Sus scrofa: one gene and its partner. The protein of the gene in region 2 interacts with the protein of the main gene of each other region in a pairwise test. Links are inferred from orthologs where the notes say so. Each region holds a gene or a part of one and is shown on either strand. Other genes may lie near its edges.

Region 1 (7,417 bases), on a different chromosome or scaffold from region 2:
CATGAAAAGACATGGAGAAACCTTAGAAGGATATCGCTAGGTGAAAGAGCCAATCTGAAAAAGCTACGCGCTATTAATTCTAACCAAAGGACATTTTGGAAAAGGTGAAACCACGGACACATTAAAAAGATCAGTGGGCCTTCCCTTTGTGGCGCAGCAGAAACGAATCCAACTAGGAACCTGAGGTTGCCGGTTCAATCCCTGGCCTCGCTCAGTGGGTTAAGGATCCAGCGTTGCCCTGAGCCATGGTGTAGGTCGCAAACTCAGCTCTGATCCCACATTGCTATGGCTCCGATTTGGCTAATTAGACCCCTAACCTGGGAAACTCCAAATGCTGCAAGTGTGGCCCTAAAAAGCAAAAAAAAAAAAAAAAAAAAAATCAGTGATTGTCAGAGGTTTGAAGGGAGGGATGAATGAGTAGGTGGAGCAAAGGGGATTTTTAGATAGTAAATGACAGATACAGGTTAAAATCCATAGAACCGTTCAAAGCAAAAAGTATTAATATAAACTATGTACTTTAGTTAATAATGTATCAGTAGTGGTTCTACAATTGTAACAAACACACCACACTAATACAGGATATAAATAACAGGGAAAGCTAGGAGGGTGAGAAAGAAGCAGAGGTATGTGATAGAACTGTACTTTCTGACGGATTTTCATGTAAACCTGAAACTACTATAAAAAAATTGAAACCAAAGTTCCTGTCATATCTCAGTGGTTAACGAATCCAACTAGGAACCATGAGGTTGCAGGTTTGATCCCTGGCCTTGCTCAGTGGGTTAAGAGTCTGGCATTGCTGTGAGCTGTGGTGTAGGTCAAAGACACGGCTTGGATCCTCGTTGCTGTGGCTCTGGAGTAGGCCAGTGGCTACAGCTCCGACTAGACCCCTAGCCTGGGAACCTCCATATGCCGCGGCTGCAGCCTAAAAAGACAAAAAAAAAAAAGGAAACCATTCATTTAAAAAAATGATGCGGGAAGGGAAAGCTCTGTATTCCCGAGGAATATTAACTACTAAAACAATGAAAAATAAGGAAATAAGAAAATTACCATTTGGCTACCACCCTGTGAGAACTGATTCTAGTAACTCCTTTAACTTTTTTTGTTTTAGCTTTTGAGATGGAAAATAAACCACCATTTCTAATTAAAAAAAAAAAAAGCTATGGCCATCAAGCTACAAAATGAAGGGAAGTACCTTAAATACGTATTGCTAAGTGACAGAACCACCATTTGATCTAGCAATCCCACTCCTGGGCATCTACCCAGAAAAAACCACGACTCACAAAGACACATGTACCCCATTGTTCACTGCAGCACTATTTACGCATAGCCAAAACATGGAAACAACCTAAATGTCCATCGACAGAGGAGTGGATCAAGAAGATGTGGTACATATACACAATGGAATATTACTCAGCTATTAAAAAGAACGAAATACCAGCATTTTTTGCAACATGGATGCACCTAGAAACGATCATGCTAAGTGAAGTCAGCCATACAATGAGACACTAACATCCAATGCTGTCACTGACATGTGGAATCTGAAAAAAGGACAGACTGAACTTCTTTGCAGAACAGATGCTGACTCACAGACATTGAAAAACTTATGGTCTCCAGAGGAGACAGTTTGGGGGGTGGGGGGATATGCTTGGGTTGTGGGATGGAAATCCTGTGAAATCAGATTGTTATGATCATTATACAACTATAGATGTGATAAATTCATTTGAGTAATTAAGAAAATAAAAAAAGAAGAAATGAAGAATGGACAATTTATTAGAAAGGGTGCAGGGTGTGCACGAGTGGTTTACTTGATATAATGATTAAATGTAAGGATGAGGGAGTTCTCTGATGGCCCTACTGGGTTGAGGCTCCTGCACTCTCGCCAATGTGGCTCTGGTTGCTGCTGTGTCTAAGTTCAATCCCTGGCCCAGGAATTCCCACATACTGCCTCTGTGGCAAAAAAGAAAAAAAAGAACAACAACCAAAACCCAAGCGAGAACCTGAAGGGAACATCTGAAACATCTTTTTTGTCTGAACATCATCCATCTCCTCCTCAACTCCCATTTAATAAATAAATAAATAAATAAATAAATAAATGTAAGGATTAATCCAATTTGTGATGATCCAATTTATGTGATCTCATCTGAAAAGTTTATTGAAGGCTAATACTTCCCTTCAGGGTGGTGCCATCTTATCAAATACACAATAAATTATACTGATTAGGTTCTACTTGCCTTTATTCACTGAGCTAATTATTTCCTAACAACATTCTTATGGACTGTAATCAGCTTTTAACTATGTTTATTTGCTTATAAGCAGATTTGGTTCTGTAGGCACTCCTGCCTGCCTTAACAACTTTATAGTGCTTAGTTTATCCAGAATATATAAGTGATAGCTGTAAAATACTTCCATAATACAACAAAATAACAATACATAACAGAATTTTACAGAACAATCAGAGGCTTGGGAAAGACATTCATTATATACAAGAGCTTGATAAGACAGCATGCATAATTAATATTTCAAGTATTCAACAAACATGGTCCTAAATATCTACTTTCCCTGCTCGAATTAACACCTCAAGAAATCTGGAGGAAAAAACAAACCTAGGTCCTAAATGAGACTCACCTTCCATGCATTCATTTACAGATTCATAGTCAGCATAAGTTCTGCCTTCTGGCCTCTTGGTAGGCTGTACCAGCAAAATGGTGTGAGACTGCAGGGGGAAAAGTGATTTTAATGTAAGTTTCTAACTTATACTTGAGAAATTCTTAGTATGAGATAAAATCTGCAACATGACACAAATGATCATTGGTTATTAAGCTGGATTCACAACTCCTCTGCAAGGTCTCTTACTCTTAATGGTTGTTTTCTCAAACTGTTATTACACTTACTGTCTGTAAGTATTCAGCATTAGCTACCTTGTACTGTTTATTTTTTTTCTTTTGCATCTTTCTTCCCAGCTGGATTGAAAACTTACTTAGGTTTTCTATCTCCACTGGTCTCTTTCTATCTCTAGCTGTATTAAGTCCCTAATAAAAACTCCTTGTCGTGGTGCAGCAGAAACAAATCCAATTAGGAAGCATGAGGTTGTGGTTAGATCCCTGGCCTTGCTCAGTGGGTTAAGGATCCTGCATCGTGAGCTGTGGTGTAGGTCACAGACAGGCTTGGATCCTGAATGCTGTGGCCGGCAGTTGTAGCTCCAATTCGACCCCTAGGCCTAAGAACTTGAATATGCTGCAGGTATGGCTCTAAAAAGGAAAATTAAAACAAATAAATAAATAAAAATTAATATAACATCACCTTAGAAAATCCATTAAATTATTCATCTTGGAGATGACTCACCTTAAGGGGTGAGGGTTGATGTACTTTTATCTTTATTTATTTATTTATTTATTTAGTCTGTTTAGGACTGCAAGTGCAGCACATGGAAGTTCCCAGGCTAGGCTTCAAATCAGAGCTGTAGCTGCTGGCCTACGCCGCAGCCACAGCAACTCAGGATCTGAGCCACATCTGTGACCTACACCACAGCTCACAGCAATACGGGATCCTTAACCCACTGAGCGAGGCCAGGGATCAAACCTGAGTCCTCATGGATACTAATTGCTTCGCCCAAACTATCAAAAAAGAAAAAAGATGGGGGCAGAGAGAAGAAAAAGAAACTAAAGTTGTTCAGTAAGGGCAACAAAATTTAAGACTTCTGAACCAGTAACTGTTGACTTTAAATACAAACTCCAGTTTTTAATTCTACTCGGAATTAAAGAACTAATCATAGATATCTGCTCAATGCGAATGGGTTGTTACTAACTGCTGTCTTTTTCTCAGATTTAATCTAAGTATTTTAACACAACTGACCAAACAGTGACATAAAAGGAAGGAAACTCACTGAGATGAAATGACATACCCAAGGTCACATTATTATTTATAATAAACCAAGAATTGAAAACCCAGTCTTCTAATTCCTAGTCCTCCTTGGGAGACTATGTTGGGTCAAACACTGAAGTATCTCCATTCAGAGAAGTACATGAAAAAGTTCCTTGTTAATAACAGATGCATAATCTGTTAATAACTGTGGCAAACTGAAAACGAAAACTAAAGTATGGAAGTAATCATGATTCTTCAGAATCCCTGAGAGCATTTCCTTTTTGTGAATTACAAAACACACACACATAAGCAAAAGAAAACCCCAAAAAAACAAAACCGACCAAACAACACCCCCCGCCCCCATCCACTACACTACCGACCCAGGTTCTAAGCAACCTGGACCCTCAGCTCAACCTATCTTTTCAACTTCCAGCCCCAAAGAATATAAATAAGGATAAAAAGAGGATTGAAGGCTAAGGGAAGCACAAAACCAAGCATGTACATCTCAGAAAAGAGAAAAGGTTGCACGTATTTTCAAAAAGGCAGAGCACAGAAAACAAAGGGAATAGCTGAGCACGCTGCAAAGACGATTCCTCCTGGCCCACACTTTGGGTGCTGTAAGCTTGGGGAGAGACAGGATTGTCAGACATCTCTCGCCCATTGTTCCTACAGTAAGATAGAGCGTTTGCAGAGACAGGTCAGCATCCCAACGCCGGGTTCTACCAAGCAGCAATAGGGAGAAAGCGCATCCTCCGCACCGCACGCCTTGCCGGAGCCATCAGGCTGGCGCGCAACCGCAGGGCGGACCGGGGCTCAGCGGCCTAGTGCCAGGCCCAGCGTTTCCGCGGCGGGAAGGGGAAGGATCGATCTACAGGCTGGAGAGCCGAGCAATAGCATGCGCGCGCTAGACCGCGTTGGGAGAAGATGTACGAGCAGGGGTCGCCCCAGAGGTTGGGGGCTCGGGGAGCCGCTTAGGCCTTTCTCACCATCGCGCCGATCCCTTTTCCTGCAGCCGCTGCCGACACTGCTGCAGCACACGAGCTTAGCCGCAACGCCGCCAACAGCCAATCCCCGCGAGAGGAGCCGCCGGAAGTCGTCAGAAGGGCACCGCGAAAGAACCTTTTGAACCATAGAGGCTCCTTTATTTCCGGCAGCTAGAGCAGATGTTGACTCTGTTTCAGCCATTTTGAATAAGGGCGACGAGACATAGAGAGAATGTATCGGAACTTAAAAAAAATCATATTTCTTTCCAAGAATCTGTCTTCCTCGCTTTCGCTGTAAGACATGAGGCTACAGTGATCATCGGTTTAAACAGTTACACAAGTCATTTTTTCAATGGCCCTACTCAAAAATGGCGGCAATATAAGAATCCCGGGGCATAGGTCGGTTGCAACCCGGAAGTACCCTTCTAAAGGAGGGGGCAGTAAGGCAATCCGGAAGTGGATGTAAAGAAGAGATGCCACTTGGCGGCCATGGCAGCTGTAGTACTGGTGGCTCCGGGTCAAGGCCCAGCAGAGTGGAGTAACATGGGTAGCACTGGGTATAGGGCAGAGACAGCTTTGTATCAGCTTCCCTGCTGAGCCCCTACGACCAATCGTTAGAGACCTGCAGGACTCCTTTCCTCATCCTAGACTCGGAGAGGAGTTTGCTGGGATTGGTGGGCTGGTCCCAGACCTGGAGGAATCACCGGCGGGGCTGCTCCAGGGAGATAGGGGCGCCCGGAGAACAAACATCTTCGCTTGGATTTTTCCTTTTGTTGCTGCCGCCCGGAACGTTGTGGAGGAAGTAGGCCTGTTATGCTACCCTTATAACAATGATTGAATAACTCGCTCATTCGCATATTTTCCCCCTGGACTTTTCTCATCTGTTAACCCACGAGAATCCAGTGACTGATATCTGAAAACTTAGGGGCTGCGACCTAAGATTGCTCAAAGTTCTCTCTGGTGCTAGTATCAACAAAAAGGGAGTGTTTCCAGGTACCTTCAAGAGAACAGTGCCTCGTGAACATATCTGCTGGTGGGGAGGACAAAAGAACTGGGAAGTCTACTTGTTCTGCTGAAACAACCACACGCGTTTAAGAACCTAAGTACCCTTTGAGACCACCGAAAATTTGTACTCTGGTGGTGGTGAGTGAATAAAGGAGGGCAGAATGGATGATTTCATCTCTATTAGTCTGCTGTCTCTGGCTATGTTGGTGGGATGTTACGTGGCTGGAATCATTCCTTTGGCTGTTAATTTCTCAGAGGTAAGAAATTCTCAATTTTCTGTCAGCTGTCAGCATGGCTGCTAGGAAGTAGTCATAGTTGTAAAGGGAAGCTGCTTCCCCTGTTGATATTAGAGCTGAAGGTTTTATATATCTCTCCAAAGATGCGTGATATTTAATAACAACCTCACATTCAGCACTAGTGTTCTTTAACCAGAGGTGGGTGGATCCACTGAAGATCCTGGAATACTCTGAACGCCCTGAAATTGAATACAAAAATTTGAGGCTCTGTGCATTTTCTGGGAGAGAGGCACCATAGCATTCTTTTGATACTCAGAAGTTCCAAAGAATCAAGATTCCAGCTTGCTATAAATGAAGAACTTTATTTGTCCATGTGAGTTGAAATCAATATTAACTTCTCTCTGTGAGAATATTAAGCATACTTTTTTGGGGAAAGGGTTTTTTTCTTTTGGACAGCTGTAATTAGAATGAAGTAAGAAACCAAACTGAATTAGATTGGTTGGTTTTTTTTGTCTCTCTTTTTTTTTTTTTTTTGCCTTTTCTTGGGCTGCTCCCACGGCATACGGAGGTTCCCAGGCTAGGGGTTGAATCAGAGCTATAGCCACCGGCCTACGCCAGAGCCACGGCAACGCGGGATCCAAGCCGCTTCTGCAGTCTACACCACAGCTCATGGCAATGCCGGATCCTTAACCCACTGAGCAAGGCCAGAGATCGAACCCGCAACCTCATGGTTCCCAGTCGGATTCGTTAACCACTGCGCCACGACAGAACTCCAAAATTAGATTGTTCTTAATTCACATTTCCTTTTCAGAAGGAGACATTGGAATGGATATTTGAAGCTGTTTTCAAATCTGTTTGCTTAGAAATGAATTTTGTGTTGATATGGTTTGACATTTTGCTTAACTTGTTTGGTTATTTGTCATTACTTGAACAACCATTAAAAAGGAAGAAGGATAGTTGAAAACGTTGTTCAATGAAAATGCAGATCAGGATCTTCAGGTTGTCATAGGAAGTTCACAGCATGCACAGTGCTCAGAGATTTGAGGGAGGAAAACAACTACGTTCAGGATTTCTTGGGTATAGCTTGGAGTGGCTTCACTGCCAGGCCTGAAAATGCTTTAAAAGAAAAGGAGAGTGGAGAATGGCCTGAAGTAGAATGGAAAGGTAGCGGTGAGGTGTGAGGTGGCCTTGAAAAACCTGAAGAAAGAGATTGGTCAAGAAAGTAGCCTGTGAGTGAGAAAGGCAGTGGGACTAGGCATTATGACCTTGGAAATAAAGCCCTCAGCCACATGGAAGGGGGACTCAATTGCTGCTGCTCCTTTTCCGTTTCTT
Region 2 (6,780 bases):
TTGGTCCCTGCCCTTGCTCAGTGGGTTAACGATCCGGCGTTGCCGTGAGCTGTGGTGTAGGTTGCAGACGTGGCTCGGATCCCGAGTTGCTGTGGCTCTGGCGTAGGCCGGTGGCTACAGCTCCGATTCAACCCCTAGCCTGGGAACCTCCATATGCCGCGGGAGCGGCCCAAGAAATAGCAACAATAACAACAACAACAACCAAAAAGACAAAAGACAAAAAAAAAAAAAAAAAGTGGCCAAATAGTCTGAACAGACATTTCTCCAAGATACGCAAACAGCCAATAAGCACAAGAAGACATACAACATCATCAACCATCACGGAAATGCACAGGAAAGTATCACCAACTGTCTTTTTTTTGTCTTTTGTCTTTTTAGGGCCACATGGGCTGCATACGGAGGTTCCCAGGCTAGGGGTCTAATCGTAGCTGTAGCTGCTGGCCCACACCACAACCACAGCAACACAGGATCCGAGCCGTGTCTACGACCTACACCCCAGCTCACGGCAACACCAGATCCTTAACCCACTGAGCGAGGCCAGGGATCGAACCCACAACCTCACGGTTCCTAGTTGGATTTGTTTCCACTGCACCACGATGGGAACTCCACCGACTGTCTTTTATTAGCCTCTGCATCTCTACTTCTAGCACAGGGCTTTGGTCCACAGTGTACTCGATAAACATGGAAAGAAGTGAATAGAAGGGGCACGGCAGAGTTTCTCTCTACGGGCTATCCTGAGATGAATATAAATCTGAATTCAGTAAAACTAGTTTACCACTAGGAGCAGAGCTCACTCAGGTGCCAATATTTAGACAAAACTCCAGGCCTTTGAGGAACCTGGGTCCTACTGGTAAGCAGACCAATATCCGACATCTGGAAAGTGGAGGCTATGGCTCTTGGCTTCTCTGGCAAGACCTCCTAGAGAACCATCCATGGGAAAATGGTGTTTCTCTGCTAGCCAGACTTAACTGCTCAGGCCAGGTAGAAACGCAGGGCCCCGGGGAACAGACGACTGCACACTGCTGCTGCCTGATCTTGGTATGCAGGAGGCCCCAGAGGGTATAAGGCACCAGGACGTCCATCTCAGGAGGGCTTTCTCAGAAGGCCTGCTGTAAGCAGTAAGGAGCAGGAGGTGGCTGCTTTCTCCCGGACTCACCGTCTAGACACCGGTTGTTATACTTCTTATACGCGGTGATGGCATCGTCCTTCTTCACAAAGACCACCTCTGCTACTCCAGGATGGACCAGCCGAGCCCTCTTCAGGGCTCCACACACACAGAAAAGCTCCTGCGAAGAACAGGAGCAGTTAGGGTTGGGGGAGAATCTGGGGCAGTCGTCGTGCCTGCCTGCCATTCACGCACTCTAAATATGGCTCTGGGTTGACTGGTGGCTGCACTCTGACTCTGCCCAGCACCCCAGAGTCCAGGGAGGCTTCATTTTAGGTGGTGTTCCTGGGACATCCACAGGCCTGAATACGGCACCAGATGAGAGGACGGATGTGCTGGCAGTGAGAAACGGATCTGGGCCTGCAAACCCTGGAGGTTCCCGTGACTCCAAGTCACCTCCGAAGTCCTCCTGCCTCAGTGCCTACTACTTCCTCAACAAGGGCAACAGTCATGCAACACAGAATTTCTCTCAGAGTGCTTGTCATGAGAATGGACATGCAGGCTCACCCAGAACAGTGCCTAACGTATCACCTGGGAATCCATTACAAGTACAAATTCTAGAATTCTATACAGGGTGACCAACCATCCTGGTTTGACTGGACGGAGGGGTTTCAACTGAAATCATTTTTAAGGCAGTGCTTTGCCAACATGCGTTATGATCACCATTTACTCCAATCCCTCCTCCTTTTACAGACCAGGAGACTGAGGCCAGAAAGGGAACATGGAGTTCCCATTGTGGCCCAGCGGATACAGATCCGACTAATATCCATCAGGATGCAGGTTCAATTCCTGGCCTCAATCAGTGGGTTAATGATCCAGCGTTGCTATGAGCTGTGGTGCAGGTTGCAGATGCAGCTCAGATCTGGCGTTGCTGTGGCTATGGTGTAGGTCGGAGGCCACAGCTCCGCTTTGTCCCCTAGCCTGGGAACTTTCATATGCTGCAGGTACAGCCCTAAAAAGATTTAAAAAAGCAAAACAAAACAAAAACAAAAAAAGAAAGGGAACAACACAATGTGGAAGTGGACTGCAAAGACTTACTAGCACTCAGGCCACCATTCCACCTGTAACTGTTTTTCACAAGGTTGTTATGAGGACAAAGAAGATTTATGAAAACGTTGTTGAAATGACTTGTTTCTAATGATAGAAGGGAAAATACTATACATAAAAAAAAAAAAGACACAAAACTGAATACTAAGTGTGACCCGAATTTTATTAATGTTGTTCTTTTATTTTATTTTTGCCTTTTCTAGGGCCGTACCTGCGGCATATGGAAGTTCCCAGGCTGGGGGTCAAACTGGAGCTGTAGCTGCCAGCCTCCACCACAGCCACAGCCACGCAGGATCCGAACCGCATCTGGGACCTCACCACAGCTCACGGCAACACTGGATCCTTGACCCACTGAGTAAGGCCAGGGATCGAACCCGCAACCTCACGGTTCCTAGTTGGATTCGTTAACCACTGAGCCACGACAGGAACTCCAAATTGTTTTAATCTTTATAATTTGTCTAGTATTACAGAAAGTAGGCTACAATTTCCTCTCGTGTGCATCGTTCACAAAGCAATCACACAACACTCATACATAAAACCATTAACAAATGTGGTGGCCAGTGTGGGCTGTTACACAACCTGGGACTCAGTTGCAGGGAGAAGCTAGCATCTGGATGCATTCATTCTGTGATCTAACAGGTGAGTCAAAATCATGCCTGAATTCTTTAACAGGTTTTCTTTCCTTTTTTTTTTTTTTTGGTCTTTTTAGGCCCGCACCAGTGGCATATGGAGGTTCCCAGGTGAGGGGTCCAATCAGAACTGTAGCCGCCGGCCTATGCCACAGCCACGGCAACTTGAGATCTGAGCTGCGCCTGTGACCTACACCACAGCTCACGGCAATACCAGATCCTTAACCCACTGAGCGAGGCCAGGGATCAAACGCACGTCCTCATGGATGCTAGTCAGGTTCATTAACTGCTGAGCCAAGAAAGGAACTCCTAAAAGGTTTTCTTGATGCCTGAATGAAAATAAGGTTGAAAGAAGTCCTGGTTGCATCTGGGTCACTCTTCACAAGTACCTGAATTAGGTTTTGCCCAGGACTGCTAAGGGTGGGACAGGATGGACCAGAAGGACAATCCAGAAGGGCCAACTGCCAGACGACACCAATCCATCTCTCTCAGGAGTCATTACTATTTACTTTGGAGTCATTATGAAAACCCCTAAAGGAGGCAGAAATTCCAAAGACTCTTGGGAAAATATGAACCACTGGATTTTCCACAGCAGGACTAAAGGATCCCATTCACGACTTAAGCCGGCACGATCCCCTGGCCCTGGTTTAGAAGCTAAGAGGAGGAGGGTTAACATAGCCAGCCTGACTGCTATCCTCTGGGACCCCGGATTCTGGGAGGGCTCCCACCACCCTAACTGGTAAGAGTGGTGCACTGTGCCTAGACAAACAACGTGGTTTATGCTAAGCACTTGCCTTCCTCTGGAGTCTGGAGTTTCGGTATGTGCTATATACAGCAGAGGGTGCCTACACAACCAGTCCCTGATAAAAACCCTGGGCACCAACTCTCCAAAGGGCTCCCCTGGTTTCACATGCATCGTCACAACCAAGTGCTGGGGGAATAAAGCACATCCTGTGTGACTCCACTGGGAGAGACTCCAGAAGTTTGCAGCTGGCTTCCTCTAACCTTTGCCCGATGGGCCTTTTCCCTCACTGATTTTGCTCTGTATCCTGTAATGAATCTTAGCCCCCACATAACTCGAAGCTAAGGCCAGCATGTCCTCTTAGAGAATCAGTGAACCTGGGGGTGGTCCTGGGGGCCCCTGAAACAGAAGTGGCTTGAGATTTAAAATTCTGGTAGGCCACAATACTCACAACAATGTCTTCCTCGGTGACTCGAGGGTGCAGATTATTCACCGTCATCTTGGTACCTTCCAAAGGGCTGAGGACAGGCTGCCACAGACAAAAGAGCATTACTGGAGTCAGAGGAGAGCAGTGCTCAAACAGCAGAACTCACTGCAGGTAACCAGCCAGGCAGGCCCAGAGGAAACCCCGTCACCACCAGGCCTCTAATCATGCCCCCGTCACCTTACACTAAGGGATGGAATCTCTCATCACTTCCTAAATATGCCTAGAATGTCACTCAAGTTTCAAGAGCCACAAAGCCCAGACCACCCTTTCTCCTTAAAGCCTCCTCGGATCTCTCCAGTGGAGTGAGATGCTCTTTCCTCGGTGCTCTGGGCAGCCCTCTTCCGAGCAGCCCCCTGTTCTATCACTAGGCACAGGGGCTACTGGGTTTTGTAAAATGGGGGTGGCAATGCCTATCTCACAGAGGCACTTTGAGGACCTGGCAGGGTACACACAGCACGTCGCCCACCCCGCAGAGGCTAACCCTCAACTAGTGCGGTCACTTCCTCTCCTTCACCATCACCTCACCTCAGCAGGCGGCAGTTCTTTGGGGGGCTCCTCCTTGTTCACTAGAGTCCGGGACATGTTGGTCAAGGCTTTTGTTCGAACAGAGGAAGGGAGAGCAGGAGCTGTGTATGCATCATTTTGAACCACTTTGGTGAGAGGAAGGGCCTTGGACATGGAAAGCTTGGAACTGCTCAGCCCAGCCTAAACAAAGAGGCAGACAGGAATCTGAGAGGCTAGGACTGGACACCCAGTGGGGGCGGCAAAACCCCAAGCCCAAGGCCTCCCACCTCCCCAATTCTATTAGTGGTCTAAAACCAGAGAGGTGCCAGTTGCCAAGGGAGGAGCAGGAAGAGAGAAAACAGCCTGCATAGGTGCTCACAGGAGCTACTTTCCAGTGTTGGAAGCCCTTAGGAAAGATGCTTCCACACAGTCCTGAACAGAAGCCATAAGCTCAACCACACCGTTAAGACTTCATAAAAACTCTATAGTCTGGGATTAGTCAGAGGCCAAAAACGGGCTCAAGTTCATTTCCAGATATGCTTCTACTACAATGGGCTGGCTAGGACATTCCCTGGTGGTCTAGTGCTTAAAGATTTGGTGTTTTCACTGCTGTGGCTCAGGTTTGAATCCTGGTCCTGGAACTTCTGCATGCCACAGGTATAGCCAACACCCCCCCACCCCGCCCCCGCCCCAAAACAAAAAACAACATGCTGGCTGGGAATAGGAACTCACTCTTAAGAAGGCCCAGGCTCCCAGCTTTTGGGTCCCTCCCTGCTCCGGCCATACAGATATTGTGCATAACCTTGCCTCCACAGCTCCCAGACTGTCAGGGACATGTTGGCAGAGTCAGCACACGCAGACCAGCAGGAACAGTTCCCTCCCTCCCCTGCTGGCCCCAACTGGGGATGTGGGTCCCTTGGAAAAATAAACCAGCCAACTCCCCGGACTTAATGTGTCTGAGGAAAAAGATGCAAGAGGCAGAAGCGGCAGGTGGTCTTCTCCATTCAGGACAGTGTCCACCAGGCACTGACTCAGGGAGAAAGGAGGAATGCAGCAGCCAGACAGGCACATTACGGGACAGGGTCAATTCACCAGCTTCTCTGAATCCAGATTCATCCTGGATCTCACATTTCTCAAGGTGTTTTTGAGTCTCAAGAGCCAGTATAGTGTAGTGGTTAAACACACAGCCTGGGAGCCAGACTGCTTAGCCTTAAATCTAGACCCACTAGCTACAAACTCAGGAGGTTTATTTAACCTCTCTGCCTAAATCCTCATCTGTAAAATAAGGGTAATCATAGTACTCACCTCACAAGGTGGGAAGGGAAGTCTTTAATGAGTTAACATAAAACAGGGTTTTTTCCAGTTTGGTAGTAGGCCCAAGCCCCTTTGTAACAAACTGGCCTCTTGCAACTTCACACATCACTTTAAGAGCTTCAGTGGTAACCATGGAGTTCCCGTTGTGGCTCAGTGGTAATGAACCTGACTAGTATCCATGAAGATGCAGGATCAATCCCTGGCCTCCGGTGTTGCCATGAGCTGTAGCATAGGTTGCAGACACAGCTCGGATCCAGTGTTGCTGTGGCTGTTGTGTAGGCCAGCAGCTATACTTCTGATTTGACCCCTATCCTGGGAACTTCCATATATGCCTCAGTTGCGGCCCTAAAAAGCAAAAAAAAAGGCTCCAATGGTAACCAGGAAATCGGTCCACGTATTCAGTGCAGTGACCAAAACAGAGTCTCTGAAGGCCAAACAAAGGCACTTGGCCTGGGACCCCACTTGGCTCCCTATGGGTGCCTGGGCCGTATCTACTGGGCTGAGCGGCACAGACCTCTGGATATTTCCAGACATCGCTTTCTTTCCCCCTCTGTGTGGTACCTAAGCATCCTCATTCACCAAGTTTTCCCCATATGCAGGCTGCACCTGGTGGAACCCTCAGGCAAGGTTCAGTTTATTCTTGCTAACACACCAACCAAGGGAATCCAGATTCAAGAATGGGAGGAGAGTTGCTGACTATGGAAGGAAGGGTAACAGGCAGAACGTCCGGCTGCAAAGGAAATAAAACGGGACTCCGTTCTGCAGGATCTCTCACATTTCCCGGGAAGTGCCTTAAACACGGCAATTGGGAGCTGCAGCCCTGCACGTCACGCTTTGTGGGAACCTGAACAAGTCAGTGGACACAATGGTCTCAGCATTTATAAACCAGTTC

Evidence for each region.
Region 1: the proteins of POLDIP3 (region 2) and ERH interact in a two-hybrid assay, tested with the Homo sapiens proteins (2 studies listed by BioGRID, with this or other methods). The link is inferred for Sus scrofa from reciprocal best matches to the Homo sapiens genes POLDIP3 and ERH.

Annotation. Positions count from the first base shown.
Region 1 is NC_010449.5:93,079,033-93,086,449, forward strand, and holds the start of ERH (enhancer of rudimentary homolog), read right to left. Parts: upstream 4,919-7,417; 5' UTR 4,851-4,918; coding exon 4,848-4,850; intron 2,714-4,847; coding exon 2,626-2,713; intron 1-2,625. Other genes in the region: SLC39A9 (zinc transporter ZIP9), read left to right, coding at 6,011-6,106. UniProt on the Homo sapiens protein: May have a role in the cell cycle.
Region 2 is NC_010447.5:6,189,577-6,196,356, reverse strand, and holds part of POLDIP3 (polymerase delta-interacting protein 3), read right to left. Parts: intron 4,776-6,780; coding exon 4,596-4,775; intron 4,113-4,595; coding exon 4,035-4,112; intron 1,287-4,034; coding exon 1,157-1,286; intron 1-1,156. UniProt on the Homo sapiens protein: Is involved in regulation of translation. Is preferentially associated with CBC-bound spliced mRNA-protein complexes during the pioneer round of mRNA translation. Contributes to enhanced translational efficiency of spliced over nonspliced mRNAs.